2 linked regions of the Alligator mississippiensis genome follow. The protein of the gene in region 1 binds, or shares a complex with, the protein of each later gene. Links are inferred from orthologs where the notes say so. Each region holds a gene or a part of one and is shown on either strand. Other genes may lie near its edges.

The links.
Region 2: POLD1 (region 1) and POLD4 share a complex: the UniProt entries of both Homo sapiens proteins name them as parts of the tetrameric DNA polymerase delta complex. The link is inferred for Alligator mississippiensis from reciprocal best matches to the Homo sapiens genes POLD1 and POLD4.

The regions. Positions count from the first base shown.
Region 1 is NC_081828.1:40,190,529-40,198,412, reverse strand, and holds the start of POLD1 (DNA polymerase delta catalytic subunit), read right to left. Parts: upstream 3,042-7,884; 5' UTR 3,034-3,041; coding exon of another isoform or gene 2,956-3,033; intron 1,009-2,955; coding exon of another isoform or gene 1,002-1,008; coding exon 803-1,001; intron 631-802; coding exon 517-630; intron 1-516. Other genes in the region: NR1H2 (oxysterols receptor LXR-beta), read right to left, coding at 5,112-5,258, 5,579-5,787, 6,489-6,588, 7,812-7,884. UniProt on the Homo sapiens protein: As the catalytic component of the trimeric (Pol-delta3 complex) and tetrameric DNA polymerase delta complexes (Pol-delta4 complex), plays a crucial role in high fidelity genome replication, including in lagging strand synthesis, and repair.
Region 2 is NC_081825.1:176,139,111-176,146,429, reverse strand, and holds POLD4 (DNA polymerase delta subunit 4), read left to right. Parts: upstream 1-4,496; 5' UTR 4,497-4,593; intron 4,594-4,740; 5' UTR 4,741-4,742; coding exon 4,743-4,920; intron 4,921-5,020; coding exon 5,021-5,132; intron 5,133-6,454; coding exon 6,455-6,479; 3' UTR 6,480-6,805; downstream 6,806-7,319. Other genes in the region: glycine N-acyltransferase-like protein 3, read right to left, coding at 408-528, 739-865, 1,074-1,181, 2,272-2,349. UniProt on the Homo sapiens protein: As a component of the tetrameric DNA polymerase delta complex (Pol-delta4), plays a role in high fidelity genome replication and repair.

The sequences.
Region 1 (7,884 bases):
CTGCCCCCACACCCCAGCTGACTGGGAAGTTTCCCTGGGGAACTCCAACCTGTGTGTCCAGCCCTCCCCTGGGATAGGGACACACTGGGCCATTGTGCTTTGTAAAAGCCCCTGCTCACCCCAGGTCACGAATAAGGCCAGGGGGGGTTCCCTGTGTGGGGGGAGGAGGGCAGGGGTTACAGATTAATCAGACAAAGCCCCCAAGATGGGGGAATGGAAACAGCTGGAGGGATAATCCCAGACCCCAGCCCTTCCCCAGAACACAGTAACCTTCAAGGGTTTGGGGGAACAGGGAAGATTAGGCCACGCTCTTTTGGAGTTGGGATGGGACTGCCAGGCTAGCAGGAGAACCCAGGTGTCCTGGCTCCTCACCCTTACCACCTAACCACTCTCCACCCAGAGCCGAGATCAAAACCCAGAGTCCTGGCTCCCCACCCGCCTGCTCTGACCATTTAGCCCTACTCCCCTCCCAAAGGCCCCCAACTCAGTCTATGGAGTTGCGCTGGGCATGCTCACCCACATAATAATCCAGCTCCACCTGCTGGAAGCAGAGTGCATCAGCTGCAGGGTCGATCCCAGGGGGTGCTGGGCGCTGCCACTTGGGGTTCAGCACCGAGGAGAACAGACTCCCTTGAAGGGGGAGATTAAAGTTCAATGTCAGAGCCCCAATCCCTCCTCCTCCTCCCTCCTGGTGCTGCACCCCTCAACCCCTGCCCCATAAGCCAACAATCCACCACTCCACAGCCCCTTAACCAGGGCCCTGGCATCAGCCCCTGTGGGAGGCCAGAGGGGGTCGCCTCACCGATGGCCATGACATCAAGCAACTGAGATGACGACTCCATCTCCAGAGTCATCTCGCTCTCCACCTCATCCAGGTAGGCCAGTGCCTCCTCAAACTGTGAGGGGTTCTCATCCTCCCAGTCACCCCCCCGTGGCCGCTTCCACTGTGAGGGGTCCTCTGGGCCAGGCCCCGCTGGGGATACCTTCCGCTTGGCCTCCATGGTGGATCTGAGGGCAAAAGCAGAAGACCAAATTGGGCTCAGAGTGCCTGGAAGAGACTGAATCATGAGCAGAGAAAACACTTCTGTTGCACACTGACTGCGGTGTTTCAAAGAGAGGGGATTCTTTGTATGTTCCTTGTAAATAAACAGGGCTGCATCCAAAAAACACCTGGGTCCATCCTCAACTTTTTCTTCTAATGCCAATCATCCGGGGGGGGGGGGGGGGGGGGACAACCTGAAGGATGGATGACACAAATGACACAGGAAAGCCTCAAACTGTGGCACACAACAGATCAAGATGGGAGCAAGGAATACAGCAGCAGGTTGAGTAGGGAGAAGTAGGGCAACAGATCAGACAGTGGGTGCAGGGCAGAGAGCAGAAAGCAGAGTAAAAGATCAGGCAGTGAACACAAGGAAGGAAGCAGAAAACAGAGCCACAAAGTAGACAGGGAGAAGGCACAGCAGCATACCAGATGGGGACCATGGGCCAGGGAGCAGAAGGCAAAGCATCAGATCAGAGTGAGAGAACAGGGCAGGGAGCAGGAAGCAGAGTAGCAGATTGGACAGGGGAGGGTGCAGGGCTAATTTGAAGCACGTCTGCCCAAAAGGTTGGTGCCTACTGCCCTACGTGACTCCAACACATGCTAATTCCTCATGCCAGGAACAGATAACCCTTGCAGGGCCCTTTTTATTTCTGTCTCTACAGCTTCCCTACAGACCCGCTGCCTGGCACAGCAAGCCAAAATGTGCTTGGTGCTAGAGCTAGCACAAGCCCATGCATAAGACATCATCAGAACGGATCACAGGAAAAGATGCTGCAAGGTATGCAAAGAAAAAAGGAGTCTGTGAGGTTCTTAAAGCACGTTTCCTCTGGAAGGGCTGATGCAATGAGGTCTGGTGTGGGGGCCAACTTTCTGGGCAGGCGTGCCACAAATTAGCCCTGCACCCTGCCCGAGTGCCAGGCCATGCCCCTTCCCATGCCCAGTCTCCTGTTTGCTCCCTACCCTGCCTGCTGCTGTGTTCCCTGCCCCCTCCCCAATCTGCCATGTGCCACACACACAGATTACCCATGCCACTTGTTGGCCAACCCTGGTATAAACCAATTCCACTGCATTTGTGCATCCACTGTGTGCTTTCCAAACACCTAGGGAGAGACCAGCCACACGGCCTCCTCTATGAAGCCCAGCACACATCACAGGAACTATGATCCCTTTGGCACCTGAGGTCCAGTCCCCCCACCTCCAGGGCAGCCTGGGCCCTACAGCCCACAGGCAGGCTCCCACCTTCCAGGTAGGAAGCTCCCACTCTGTGACAGGCACACACATGCCTCCCAGCAACCATGGGGTACAACTGCCCCCACAGTCACCTACCCACTTTGCCCCATAAGAACACCCTGGGCCCCATCCCCAGCTCTGCCTGCCCCCCACCAGAACCCCCCGAGTCCCCCACCTCAAGGACCCCCCCCCCAATAGGGACTCCCCACCCCCAGCCAGTGCCTGTCCCCCAGGAACCCCCAGGGAGTCTCCTCCCAAGGAGTTTCCCCATAGCTTCCCCATACCAAGGACCCCAGCCCCAGCTACAGCCTTCCCCCCAGGAACCCCCCAGAAAGTCTCCCCCAAGGGAGCCCCTCCAAAGAGTGTTCCCACCCCAGCTACCCCTCCCCAGCTACAGCCCCCACCCAGGGACCCTCGCATAGGGTTCCCCACCCCAGGGATCCCATCCCAAGCTATTGCCCCCCTACCAGGGACCACCCCCCCACCAGGGATCTCCCACAAGAACCCCGTCCCCTGCTAGCACCCCCTCAACAAGGACCCTCCATAGCATCCCCCACCCCAGGGACCCCACACCCAACTACTGCCCGCCCAACAGGGGCCCCCCATAGGGCGCCCCACCCCCAGCAGATGCCTCCCCCCCGGGAGCCCTCTCACTCCAACTACCCCCCAGCCCCACTTACCCCCCAGCTCCAGCTCCGACTCTCCCGCCAATCCAAAAGGAGGCGGAGCCCAGCGTGGTCCCACCCCTCGGTTCCCATACCAACCCCCCTCCCATTGGACGCCGCACACACGTGTTCCCACCGCGACTTCCGATCGCCATCTTGAGCGTGGCGGAAGGCCTAGGGCGGGGTACTTGAGCACAGTGATACGGAGAGTGTGGCGTGAAGGCTGCAGTCGCCCCGGCACAAACGCATGCGCAGTAAGGTGACACACTACCTGGGATCTGGCTTCTGAGTCCATGATACTGCGCATATGCCACGTTGAGCCACGAACGTCACCTTATGGAGAGCGGCACATGCGCAGTGGGGATCCCAGAAGCCTGGCCCTTCAGTGGGGCAGCCAGGATCGCAGAGTGCATGCGCAATTGGATGCGCTCCTGCGACGCCATGTTGAGTGTGGCAAAGTGAAGAGAGGAGCAGGAGACTCCCAATGGGGGGGTAGTCAGCTCCCAGAATGCCTTGCCCTTGACTTACGCACCGCTGCACTGTACCCCTGCCTGTAGGGGGGGGTCACCCACTGCACTCTCCATGATTTTACCCCCGCAAACTTCCCCCAGCAGACAAGAGAATCCAGGCGTCCTGCCTGCCAATGCTCCCCAAGCCCCACCTCTAATCCACCAGATCCCACGCCCTTGTGCCACGCTCAGGAGACAACTCAGGTGTCCTGGCCCCCCATCCCCACCCTCCCTTGCCGGAGCTGGGCTAGAACCTAGGCGTCCTGGCTCCCATCCCCCACTCCGATGCTGATGCCGGGCTAGAAGACCCCATGAAGTCTCAAGGAGGCTGGAAAGCCCCGGGTCCCGTGGGGTGTGGAAAGGGGCCAGTCACAGGCCCAGCCTGGCTTCCTGCCCTGCTTGGGGGTGGTAGTAATATGTTCCTGCCACTCCCAGACCTTCCTGGGATTTCCTGCCCCAAGGCTGGGAATCCCCTCCTGAAGAGCTGGCGATGGGGGGCGTGATACAGCTGCCCTAGCTCTCCCCGCGCCGACCTCCCTGCCCCGCTCCCTACAGTGTCCCCTGCTGGCCTGCAGGCTGCGTGGGAGTTTCTGCATCTACTGCCTGCCCAGGTAGGTGAGAGGGTGGGGGGAGCGGAGTGCTCACGGCTGATGCATGGCCCTGGGGGACCCCCTAGCGGCCAGCATGACCAGCTGGAATTCCCCTGATTTCCCAGAACCTGGTGGGTTTTCCCACAAGCCCTTGGCAAGAGCCATATCTGGGGTAGTGGGGCCTGGGATTCTGTTCTGGCCATATCTATTCTGATTCTCCACCATGAGTCCCCTCCCAGAGCTGGAGAGAACCCAGACACATCCTGGTTCCCAGCCCACATGCCCCCCTGCCAGGGCTGGACTGCAAGCCAAGTGTCCTGTTTCCCAGGACCACCCTTTCTCCAACCCACCCAACCTCCCTCTCTTCCCAGAGCTGGGATAGAACCCAGGAGTCCTGGGCCACCCTCCTCTAACCCCACCAGACCCCAGCTGCCCCCACCAGAGCTGGAATAGAACCCAGGTGTCCTGACCTGTCTGCCCCACCCCAGCACAGATGCAAGGAGGCACCAGGAAGCTGTAATTTGTTTTATTTCCCACTGTGTGTGTGTGTGACCCCCGCCCTGCCCGCCCCCCCCCCCCCCCGACTCCAGCGGGGGAAGCATTCTCGTTCCATACACATCTCCATGACAGTAGGAATGGGGGGGGCAGCACTGTCTTTGTTTCCCCCCCCCCCCAAGTTCTTCCAGTGGCAGCAGAGGACTGGGGCCTGCCCCTCTGCCCTCCTTCTGCTATCCAGGGGTCACCTCCACCCCACACCCCCTTTCATAGGAGAGGGACTCCCCATTGGTGGGGAGAGGACAACAAGTCTTTGAGGCTCATAAGCTGGGGGGCAGAGATGTTCCCCAGCCCTGGGAGACTCCCACTGTCCTGAGGCTGCCTCCAACTGGGCCAGGCAGGGGGGTGGGGGTCCTGATCCATCATCCAGCCAGGCACAGCATCACATGGTTAGTCCAGGGTGCAGGGGGGCTTGCCCCTTGCTGGGTTCTGGCATTGGTCCATCAGTGTGGAGGGAGGGGGATCTGGCCATGGGTGGGGGGAACCCCTCAGTCCTGCCTCCCCATGCCTTGCACGCCTACTCATGGACATCCCAGATCTCAGAGAGCAGCGGTGGCAGCTTCTTGTCCTGCAGGCGGAGGGCAAAGACCTGCTCTGAGTGTACACTGCTCAACGTACGCAAGGCCACCAGCTTCAGCAGCATGCGGGGAAACATCAGCCGGTCCTGGGGGAGAGGGGGGGGAGACAGGGGGTGTCAGAGCCAACCCCCCAAAAGCTGCCCCTACACTCCTACCCCCATGCCTGGATCTATCCACTATCCCTTGTATCCTAGTGATGCTTCTGCCTTCTGTGCCCCCCAGCATGTGGAGTACATGAGTTAAAGCCTTGGGGCAGTACCAGCCCTGCCACCAACATGGCTTCTTACCCCCCATCTGTAGAGGAGCATCATCCAGTCCAGGGCAGGCTAAGAGGAGGGTCTAGGCCAAGAGTCACCAGCTCCTGTCTGCCCCTGGCTGTCAGGATGCAATGGGGGCCCCACCTTACCTGGGGCCGCTGGATGCGGGTGTAGGCACGCAGGGCCTCAACGTAGGGCAGCTGCAGTGCCTCCACCTGGGCACGGTGCTGCACACCAGGCCGGTCACCCGAGAACAGGTCGATGGCGATGAGCAAGGCATACTCGGCATCATCCAGCTGCAGCCCTCGCATGCCCCGCGAGAACTCAAAGATGGGGTTGATGAACTCCACCTGCAGACCTGTGAGGCGCCAGGCCTCAGCGGGACCTGGGGGGCCCATGCCCCACCAGGACCCCCAGACCCCACTGAGAATGTCCGCTGCAGTCCTGGGATGTCCCCACACACCAGAACCCCTGAATCCACTGAGACCCCACATGCATTACTAGGGAACCCCCCAAACCCCACTGAGATGCCCAAATCCTTTACCAGGAATCTTCCAACCCCATTGGTGAGAAACTCTCCAATTCACCAGGACCCCCGAGACTTCATACCCCACCAGAAATCCCCATGCCTTGCTGAGACCTCCCCCCTACCCCCAAATCCCACTAGTCCAATCCTTCACCCCACTGAAAACCCCCATATCCCACCAAGACCCCCCTGAAACTCACATCTCATTGGAAATCCCCTTGCCTTGCTGGGACCCCCCATATCCCACCAGACATCCCTGAAATCCCAACCCCCTAGGAGCCATCCCCATGGCCCATCCAAGTTGGGATTGATAGCTTCCTCCTTCACCCTGCAGGACATGGATTGAAGACCCAACAGCCCTTCAAGAGCTCCCCCCAGAGGCCTCCTCTGAGCCCCTAGCACCCCAGCCCCTATTACCCCCCTATTCATACCCCCAGAGCTACCCTGATCCCCACCCCCTGCCTGCTGCACTCCCCTGTACCACCCGCTAGCTCCTCCATGGACCCTGTGCCAGCACCCCTGCCACTGCATACCCGCGCGGTGGAAGTCGTCCTTGCTGTACGTGAAGTCTTTCAGGAAGGTGATGCTTTCTGTCTCATGGTTGTAGCGCCGTGCTGTCTCCAGCAACATGATCTGGGGGGGAGCAGGGTGGGCATGAGACCCCCTCCACCATGGGGCCACAGCACCTGCCATTTACTGCATGGCCACGGACCACCCTCGCCCTGGCAGGCACCAACATGCATGGCCTGGGCAGGCAAGCTGTGAAGAGCCCACTCAACATGGCCCTGTGCCCTTGCCCTCAACACAGCCTCCACTCTGTCTGTCCCTCCCTCCCCCCCAGCGATGCACCTCATAGAACTGTAAAATCAGAGAAGTCAGGACATAAGGGACCTCCAGGGGTCATCTAGCTCAACCCCCTGCCTGAAGCAGGATTGGTCCTATCCAGACCATCCTCTACAAATCCACCCTCTAAACTCTTAACAAAGCTACCGTCAACCCTGACACAAATCATAACACCCAAACCTGGCACCGGTAAAGCAGGGGGACCGCAGCAGCCAACATCCTGCTTCTCTAAAAGGTTGTTAATATACGCTCAAGAGATCCCAGGTAGAAGCCATGTCCCCACTACAGAAGAAGTCAAAACACCCCACATCATTATCAATCTGACCAGGGTAAAATTCCTTCCTGACCTCAGATATAGTGATTGGTCTAATCCTGAGCACAGGGGCAAGACCCTCTAGGCAGAAACCTCCAGCTTTGATCCCAGCAGAAGCACTGACACAGCCCAGTCTCAATCCCCAGCCTTGGCTGCAACCAACACCCAATGACTCTTAAGAGAGACTTGAAAAAACCCTGACACCTGTAGCAGAAAGGGAGAAAGGGGCGACCAGCAAAACACAGAAGCCTGGGAAAACCCCATGGTAGAACTCAGGCATAGCTACACCTAGGTCATCCCTGACCAATGCCCGTCCAACCTTTTCTTGAACCCCTCCAGTGATGCAGAGTGCACAGTTCCCCTAAGCAGTCTAGTCTGCTGCCTCACAGCTCTCATAGTGAAGTTTTTCCCCGTATCCAACTTAAACCTACTTTACTGCAACTTCAAGCCATTGGTCCTCTTCCTTCTCTCTGCAATAAGAGAAAGGTGTTCTCTCTCTTATTTATGGAAGCCTTTCAAATATGTGAAACCTGCTATCATGCCCCCTCTTAAGCACCTTTTCCTCAAACTGAACATGCCTAGCTCCTTCAGCCTCTCCTCTTGTGACTTGCCTTCCAAGCCCTTTATCACCTTTGTTGCCTGCCTTTGGACCCTCCCTAAGTTCTCCATGTCCTATGGAAAACCTGGAGCCCAGAACTACCTCAATGGTGGAGGCCTTGAGCAGGGCGATCTGGTCCTCACGAGCCAGCTGCAGGAAGCCAGGTACCTGCTTG
Region 2 (7,319 bases), on another chromosome or scaffold:
ATGACATTAAGATCTGGGGCGAGGTGGACACAGTTGAAGGAAGAGAGAGGCTGCAACTAGATTTAGACAGACTACAAAAATGGGCAGATGAAGGGGAAGGGGAACAGTGGCTCTCACTAAGTCCCAGGCCAGGGCACCAGCTACCTCAAGAAGTGAGAATGGGGCACAAGCCTTTTGTCTCTTGGGGATAATAATTCTGACCCAGTCTCAAGGTCCACCCTTGGGCAGCAGAAAGGGGGACACTAGAGCTGCAAGAAGTTAGGTGTGGGTTCACTGGTATGGGGAATGGGGAGAAAGACGGGGATGACTTGGGGACCCCATTTAGGCCTAGCTTGTGATTTCTGGCCTGGATACAGAGCAATGAGATGGCCTCAGAGCCCCATGAGGGCAGCACAGCAGACGCTGACCTGACATCAGGTACAGTGCTGGAGCTTGGCAGGAGATACACCAAGTAAGTGGATGGGTACACCTGGAAGCCCTTGGCCTTGGCAATGTCCCTGGAGGCTTCACACACGCTGTCCTGGAGCCCTGCAGGGTGGGAAGCAATGCACTGTGAGCAGCCGTGGGAGACCCTGAATAGTGCCCATGTATGTGGGGGGGGGGGGGTCGGACTGATGGAAGTGAGGGGGAGGGGGTGAACTAAGCCCAAAAGAGACCCAGAGCTCCTGTGCAGTGCCTGGGGTCTTCCCACACCTGGGCTCTTGCTCTGGGGTTCAGGGGGGATGGTCCCTGACTTACCATGTATGCGGAAGGTCTGGGCCCAGTTGATGGCCCCTGGGCTGCTCAGCAGTGCCCGGTAGGCACCCAGGTCCCGGTAGAAGGCTGAGTACATGTTAGCATAGAAATCAGAGTCATCCGTCACCACCTGCCAGGAGATACTTGCTGAGCGGGAAACTCCAGGGAGGAGAAGCAATCTTCTCACACCCCAAGTCAGCTATCTTTTGGGCCACACTGTTGCAAGCGCCTCCCATAAGGGAAAGGCCCTGGCTCCTGCCAGCCCCACACTCCTTCACGGAGGAGCTGGCACCTGCCAAGGGAGACAGTCCCTGTACCCCATAGCAGGGGAGTCTCACCTCCTTGCGTGGCCGGGTGAGGACAGCTTTGAAGTTGGGCCACGAATCCACCAACACCTCATGGCCAGCTGGATTCCCACGGCTGATGTTCATCACAGCACCAAGGACCTGGTTGAGACAGAGCAGAGTGTCAGAGCCAGGCAGGGGGAGCCACAGGCATCAGGGACTCAGACTCACATGAGGAAGGGAGACCAGGGTGATGCTGGCTCCGACATGGTTATCAGGAACCCCCTGATCTTTGGCCTGGGGGTGGGTTCAGCTCCTCATTACTTACTGCCTCTCTGGAGCCTTTGGTCCTTCTTCAGTCTCCCCTGGCATTTCCAGAGGGGCGGGCATTGCCACTAACCTCAGTCAGGATGGCTGCCACCTCCCTGTGCTTTCAATGGGGCTGAAGCCAGAGAAGGGGGAACCCCAGGCCTGGAAATGTGAGGGGGCAGGATGGAGAGAGGAGGCCTGGGAATGGTGCACAGGCTAAAGGAGTAGGTCTGGGAGGGGGAGAATGCCGAGGGGCAGAACAGGGCTGGGGCCAGTGTGTGCTCTGTGAGCTGGTCTGGAGGCTGTGTATGGGGGGCTGAGCAGAAGGTGAGGAGGTCCTATGCTTCAGGTACCAGTCTGAGTGGGTGCTGAGACCCAAGGCCAAGCACAGCCACAACACCCAATGGCACCTGTGGGCCCCTGAGTCATGGGACCACCCCTCATACCGCCTCCCCTCCCCAGCCCTCTGTCTCCTGAGCTACTTTTGCTGAATCTAGAGATTTGCTCCCTGTTCAGTGGCCACTTTGGATTGATGAGCGTAGAAGCTGCCCACACTGTGACTGGCTGGCATGGAGGTTACTGATGTTATGGTTGGCTGGCAAGAGCCAACCAGGCTGTGATTGGCTGTTGGACTGCTCACAGCTATGCCAGGTGAGCAGCAGGCATTTGTGCTAGGTTTGAACTTTGCACAAGCAACAATTGGGCAACCCCAGAAGAGCAGCTGGAGCTGGGGGGAGGGGGCTGGACCCCCAGTGACCCCATATCTGTGTGGTCGGGTGGGGGGGGGTAGCAGAAACCCCCATAGCCCAGAAGGAAGGCTCAGCCCTTCACCCAGCATCTGCACCATCACCCAGGGCAGACAAGACCATCCATCTCCTCTGCCCAGTCCCTGGATGAGTGTGGGGGGCTGTCACCCAATGTCTCAAGAGCAGTCTCATGTCACCGGCAGTGTCTCAGGCAGGCTCTGCCGCAGCACTCCCTCCAGCAGCTGCAGCTTGGAGGAACAGCTCAGGATCAGCATTGCTGGCCGGATTGAGCCCTGGCAACCTCCAGAGGGGATAATGCAGGCACCTGGGGAAGGGGAGATGCCATCAACTCCCTGAGAGCCATCTCAGTCCCCCCTCTTCCCCACAGAGAAGGCCACCCCACAGAGAGACCCTGCAATAACACACTTGTTTGTCAGCTGCTGTCCCCCAGCCAACTGGGGCTGCTTTGGGCAGGGCAGGGGGCTTTCCACTCACCTGCACGTTCACTGTCCCTGCGGCAGGGGTTGTCCTAGGAGCACAGTGGTGATGAGGTGTCTGTGGGGCAGGGTGGGCTCTGCCTGGCAGCAGCTGGTCCTGCCCTTTGGGTCTCTGCCGCAGGGGCTGCTGCAGCCTCTGATCCCAGCAAATGAACCATTAACAGAGTTGGTGCTTGGCTGGCCTGGACAGCAGGGCAGGACGGGACAAGAACGTTTCCTGGGGTTGGTGCAGCAGTAGTGAGTGGGACCTGGGAGGCTGGGAAGCAGGGTACATCTGTACCATCCCCCCCAGCAGCAGATCTGCCTGTGGGGAGCACGGCAGGAGTGCTGGCTAGGGATGGCTCCAGGATACTCTTGCTCAGAGGTTCTCAAGCTGTGGTCTGTGGACCACCACTGGTCTGCAAGCTCCATTTAGGTGGTCCGCAGAAAGGTTGCGGAACAGTCAAGAATATGGTGCAGCAGCTCTGCAAAGCGGTGACTGGTGTCAATGGGCTAACCAGAGAAGTGGCGCCATACGGGCACCCCGCCAAACACCAGGGGAACCTGTCACCCCAGTTTGACATTTACGTCCTGCCTCAGGAGTGCCCCGTGGAAGACCAGGAACCTCCTGTTATACAGGCACACAGATGCAGAGGTAGTAGGCTGTGTAAAAGTGGTGCTGAGTGAACTCCAGACCTACTACCAGAAATTGGTTGTGGAGAATGAGACAGAGACATGTGGCACAGGACCTTCCAACTCCCCCTGAGCAGGAAAGGGAGCAGCAACGGTGAGGAAAAGGAAGAGACAAGTGGAACTGAGTACAGCGACAGCAGCAGCAAATTCTTCAGCAGGAGCTGGAGCGATAGTGACATGGATGACAGGTGAACTGAGTATGTGACCTTGCAAGCAGGGGGGAAATGAAAGGACGGGGTTGCCTGGTTTGAGACCAGAATTAGTCTGGTTGTATGTGTTGTGCGCGGAGCGGATATTGTAACAGGTTCAGGTGGCCAGCGGGTCTTTGTATGGGTGTGCGGGTCGCAGTGGTGCAGTTTTTGTAACAGGTTTAAGGTTTTTCTTTGTAGAGTGATATTCAGAGTGTAGATATATATAACCTCATATACATATATATGTATATACATACATACATATACATACATATAATATATATATATATATAGACATATTTTTCCAAAAAAAAAAAAATCTGTACTTGTAAGAGGGTGGTAACAGCAAGGAAGAGGAAGAGACAAGTGGAGCTGAGGACAGCAACAGCAGCAGCAGGTCCTCCAGCAGGAGCTGGAGCGACAGAGACATGGACAACAGGTGAACTGAGTACGTGACCCCAGAAGCGGAGTGGGGCTGAAAGGAAAGGGTTGCCTGGTCTGAGGGACCAAGAGTTGCTTGTGTGCGTGGCGCGCAATGTGGATATTGTAACGGGTTCGGGTGGCTAGTGCGCCTTTGTACGGGTTCTGATTTTATTAGGGCATAGTGGTGGGTAACCCAATTTTTCTTGCCACCCCCCAAGAGTCAAAGTGTAAGTCGAGCCCTGCCGGACCCCACTACAGCCTGGCCCCGGTGCTCGCCCTCCACCTCCTCCAGGGCTACTCAGGGCAGGTGACCCCGGCCACGCTCCAGTCCGCCCTCCCCCCTCGGCCCGCCTCGCCCTGTGTCTGCTTGTGCCCAAGGCGCTGGTCAGGAGACGGGGCGTCCCGGGCCCAGCCGCGTGCCTGGCTCCGCACCCCCAGGCTGCCACCCCCGTCCTCCTCCTCTTCGCTGTGCCCCGGGCCGGGCCCGTGCTGCCGGCTCAGGCCCATCAGCACCCCGCACGCATTACCCAGGCCCATCACCACACCCACGTTCCGCCCTGTCTGTGACGCCACAAGGAGGTGGGAACCCCGTGGGCCCCAGCAACGCCCCGCTCCGCGCGCATGCGCGCCTGACCCCCCAGGGTCTCCGGGGAGAGGTGTTCGCGACGCCCCCTTGGCGCCTTCCCGCGCAGTGACGTCACTGTGGCGGGGCAGCGCGCGGAGGGGCCCGGACCAGGTGAGGGGCGCGGGGGCTCGGACGCCGGGGTCCAATCCGCGGCCTGGGGCAGGGGCGGGGGGTGGGGCCGCGGGGCGGACGCCTGGGGTCTCCCCGGCCTGGGGGCGCCGCGCCCTAAGCCCGGCCTGCCCGCTCGCTCGCCCCCAGCCATGCGCAGCAAGCGGCTCATCCCCGATGCCTTCCCGGCCGTGAAGAGGCCGCGGCGGGACTGCGCAGCCAAGGCCCCGGGGGCAGGGCCCGCCGAGGAGCCCCGCGCCGCCCCGGCCCCGGCCCCACTCGACCTGCTCAAGCGCTTCGACCTCAGCCCCGAGTACGGGCCCTGCACCGGTGAGACCCTCCCCCCACCTCCGGAGGGGCGCGGGCGGGCCGGGCTGTGCCCCGAGGGGCTCCAGGACCCTGAGCCCACCCCTGACCCCCGTGCCCACAGGGATCACGCGCCTGCAGCGCTGGGAGCGGGCGGCGGCGCTGGGCCTGAGCCCCCCGGACGCGGTGCGAGAGGCGCTGCTGCAGCACGGCGAGGACCCCCGCGTCACCTACAGGTGGGTCAGGCGGCTCCCGGGAGCTTCCCGAGCCAGGGAACTGGGGACTGGGTCCCTGCCCACGGCGGGAGGGGGCTGGCGGGGCCTGGCCTGTGCTTGGGGCTCGCTAGTTGGGTGGTGGCATCACTTGGGTGGCACAGGCAGGGCTGGGCACAGCCAGCTGTTTGAGCTGCCCCCTGGAGCAGCCTGGCCCCTTGTCAGGAGATGCAGGATCGAGCCCCCTCTGGTAGACGGGGCAGCCTGGCTAAAGTGCTGGAGGTGAGAGGGCAGAGCCGGTGGGGCTGGGAGCCCAGCTCACCCTCCTTGCAGAAAGCCCCCTGGCGAAGCAGGCCGCATCACGGTGTCCAGCCCTGAACAGACCGTTTCTGCCTGCCACAGGCCCCGCTGACACTGGCCACCTGTGCTGCAGCCACAGCAATGCTCCAGGGGTAGAGTCCTGGCAGAGCTATGCCGGTGGGGAGCCCGGGGCTGGGCCAGATGTGGATGTGCCTTGGGGGCCAGCAATGCTTCTCTGACCCATGCCCAGAAGACTTCACCCCTGAGACAGCAGATCTGCCCCCAGAGCTGGCTGGGGTAGGAGAGGGGTGGGTGAGTCACCTCTTGGGTGATGGAGGGAGACCAGCCCCGGTCCTGACCCCCTTCCCTACTTGCAATCAGCAGCCGGACTTGGGCTATTTCAGCCTGCGCCTGCTTAAGTCAGGGAAGGGTTGAGTGGTTGGGGTAGGACCATGAGGCTGCTGGATAGGCAGTGGAGATGCCCTCTCCTGCCCTAGAATCAGGCTGTTGAATCAGTTTCAGCTCTGAGCCCAGCCCTGTCCCTGCATCCCGAGGGGGTGCTGCCTGGGACCTGCTGACCTACCAGGTAGCAGTGACTTGGAGGGGGAGTGTGCCCTGTTCCCTGCCATACAGCACTCCTAGCGGCCTAGGAAAGCATTGCAGCCAGCCAGCACTGCCTGCCAGGGGACGGGGCCTCTCTGCCTCCACCCTGGGGCCAGGCCCTGCTCTGTTGAGTGGGTGAGGGGAGAGTGGGGGGGGGTGTCACAGGGAAGCAGGACTTACAAAGTAGGGAGAAATGTGCGCCCTCCCCACCCCCCTCCAACGACAGCTCGCTGGCCCTGAAAGCTGATAGCCGTGTGACCCATCTGCCTCCAGCCACATCATTCCTTCAAGTTGACCGTAAAATCGTGTCTCCTGAAGACCCGCCACAGCGGCGCTGCGGGGAGCCAGGCACATTCCAGCCTTGGCCTGGGCCAGGCCCAGGGGTGTACCAGGGCATGGAGCTGGGTCTCCCTAGGAGTAACCTCTCTCTGCTTCCCCTACAGTCTCTGGCACGAGTACCCGCTCTGAGGGGGAAGTGCGAGGGGCCTGAACAGCTCATGATATGAAGTGGAAGGGGGACCCTGCGCTGGTGCCCAGCCCCCACAGCGAGTGCTTTGGATCCTGAGTGGAAAGCGGCTTCGCTCCAGCATTAGGCAGAGGATTCTCATTCCCAGTGCTTTGGGGGAGGAGCGGGAGGGGGCTTTGCCAAGGGCATGGTGTGTCCAGGGACACTGCAGGGGTGCCTAGTGCAGCCTTGCTTTCAGCAGTCCAGCACCCTGCTGTGTTTGGTGCTGTCCACTTTCCCAACAGCCCTTGGCGTGTGTGTTTTGGATTAAATGCTTGTGTGAGAGCCACTGGCCTCCTGCCTTCTAGCTGTGTGGTACAGGGAATGGGTCTCTTGGGACTGTGCCAGCTGCACAGTTAGAGCTAGCCAAGTGCAAGTGCTGATATGGTCTGGGTGGAGGGCGGGCCGTGGAGGTGAGGGCTCACCTCCCCTGGACCCCTGAAACCTGGAGGTTATCATGTTGGTAAGCACATTGTGCTGCCCAGCTGCTGGCTGGGGCCCAGAAACAGCCTGGTGGGGGCAGGGGAAGTGGGCTGTTGTGGCAGCCCCTGCCACAGTGGGACACAGGTGCCCCCTGGTGCCCTGTGTGGCCACTGCAGGAAGGCTGGAACCATGGCCGGGCAAGTGGGGCCCAAGGTCTAGACTACAGCAGTGGTTCTCAACTTTTTTTGCACCAGGACCCATTTGTAAACATCATTGGTCAGTCCCGACTCCTTGCCCCTCGCTCCTGACCTGCTGCCCTCAGCCCCCCAGTGTGTGGTGGGGGCGTGGGACATGGGGGGAGGGCCCAAGCAGCCCCTTGG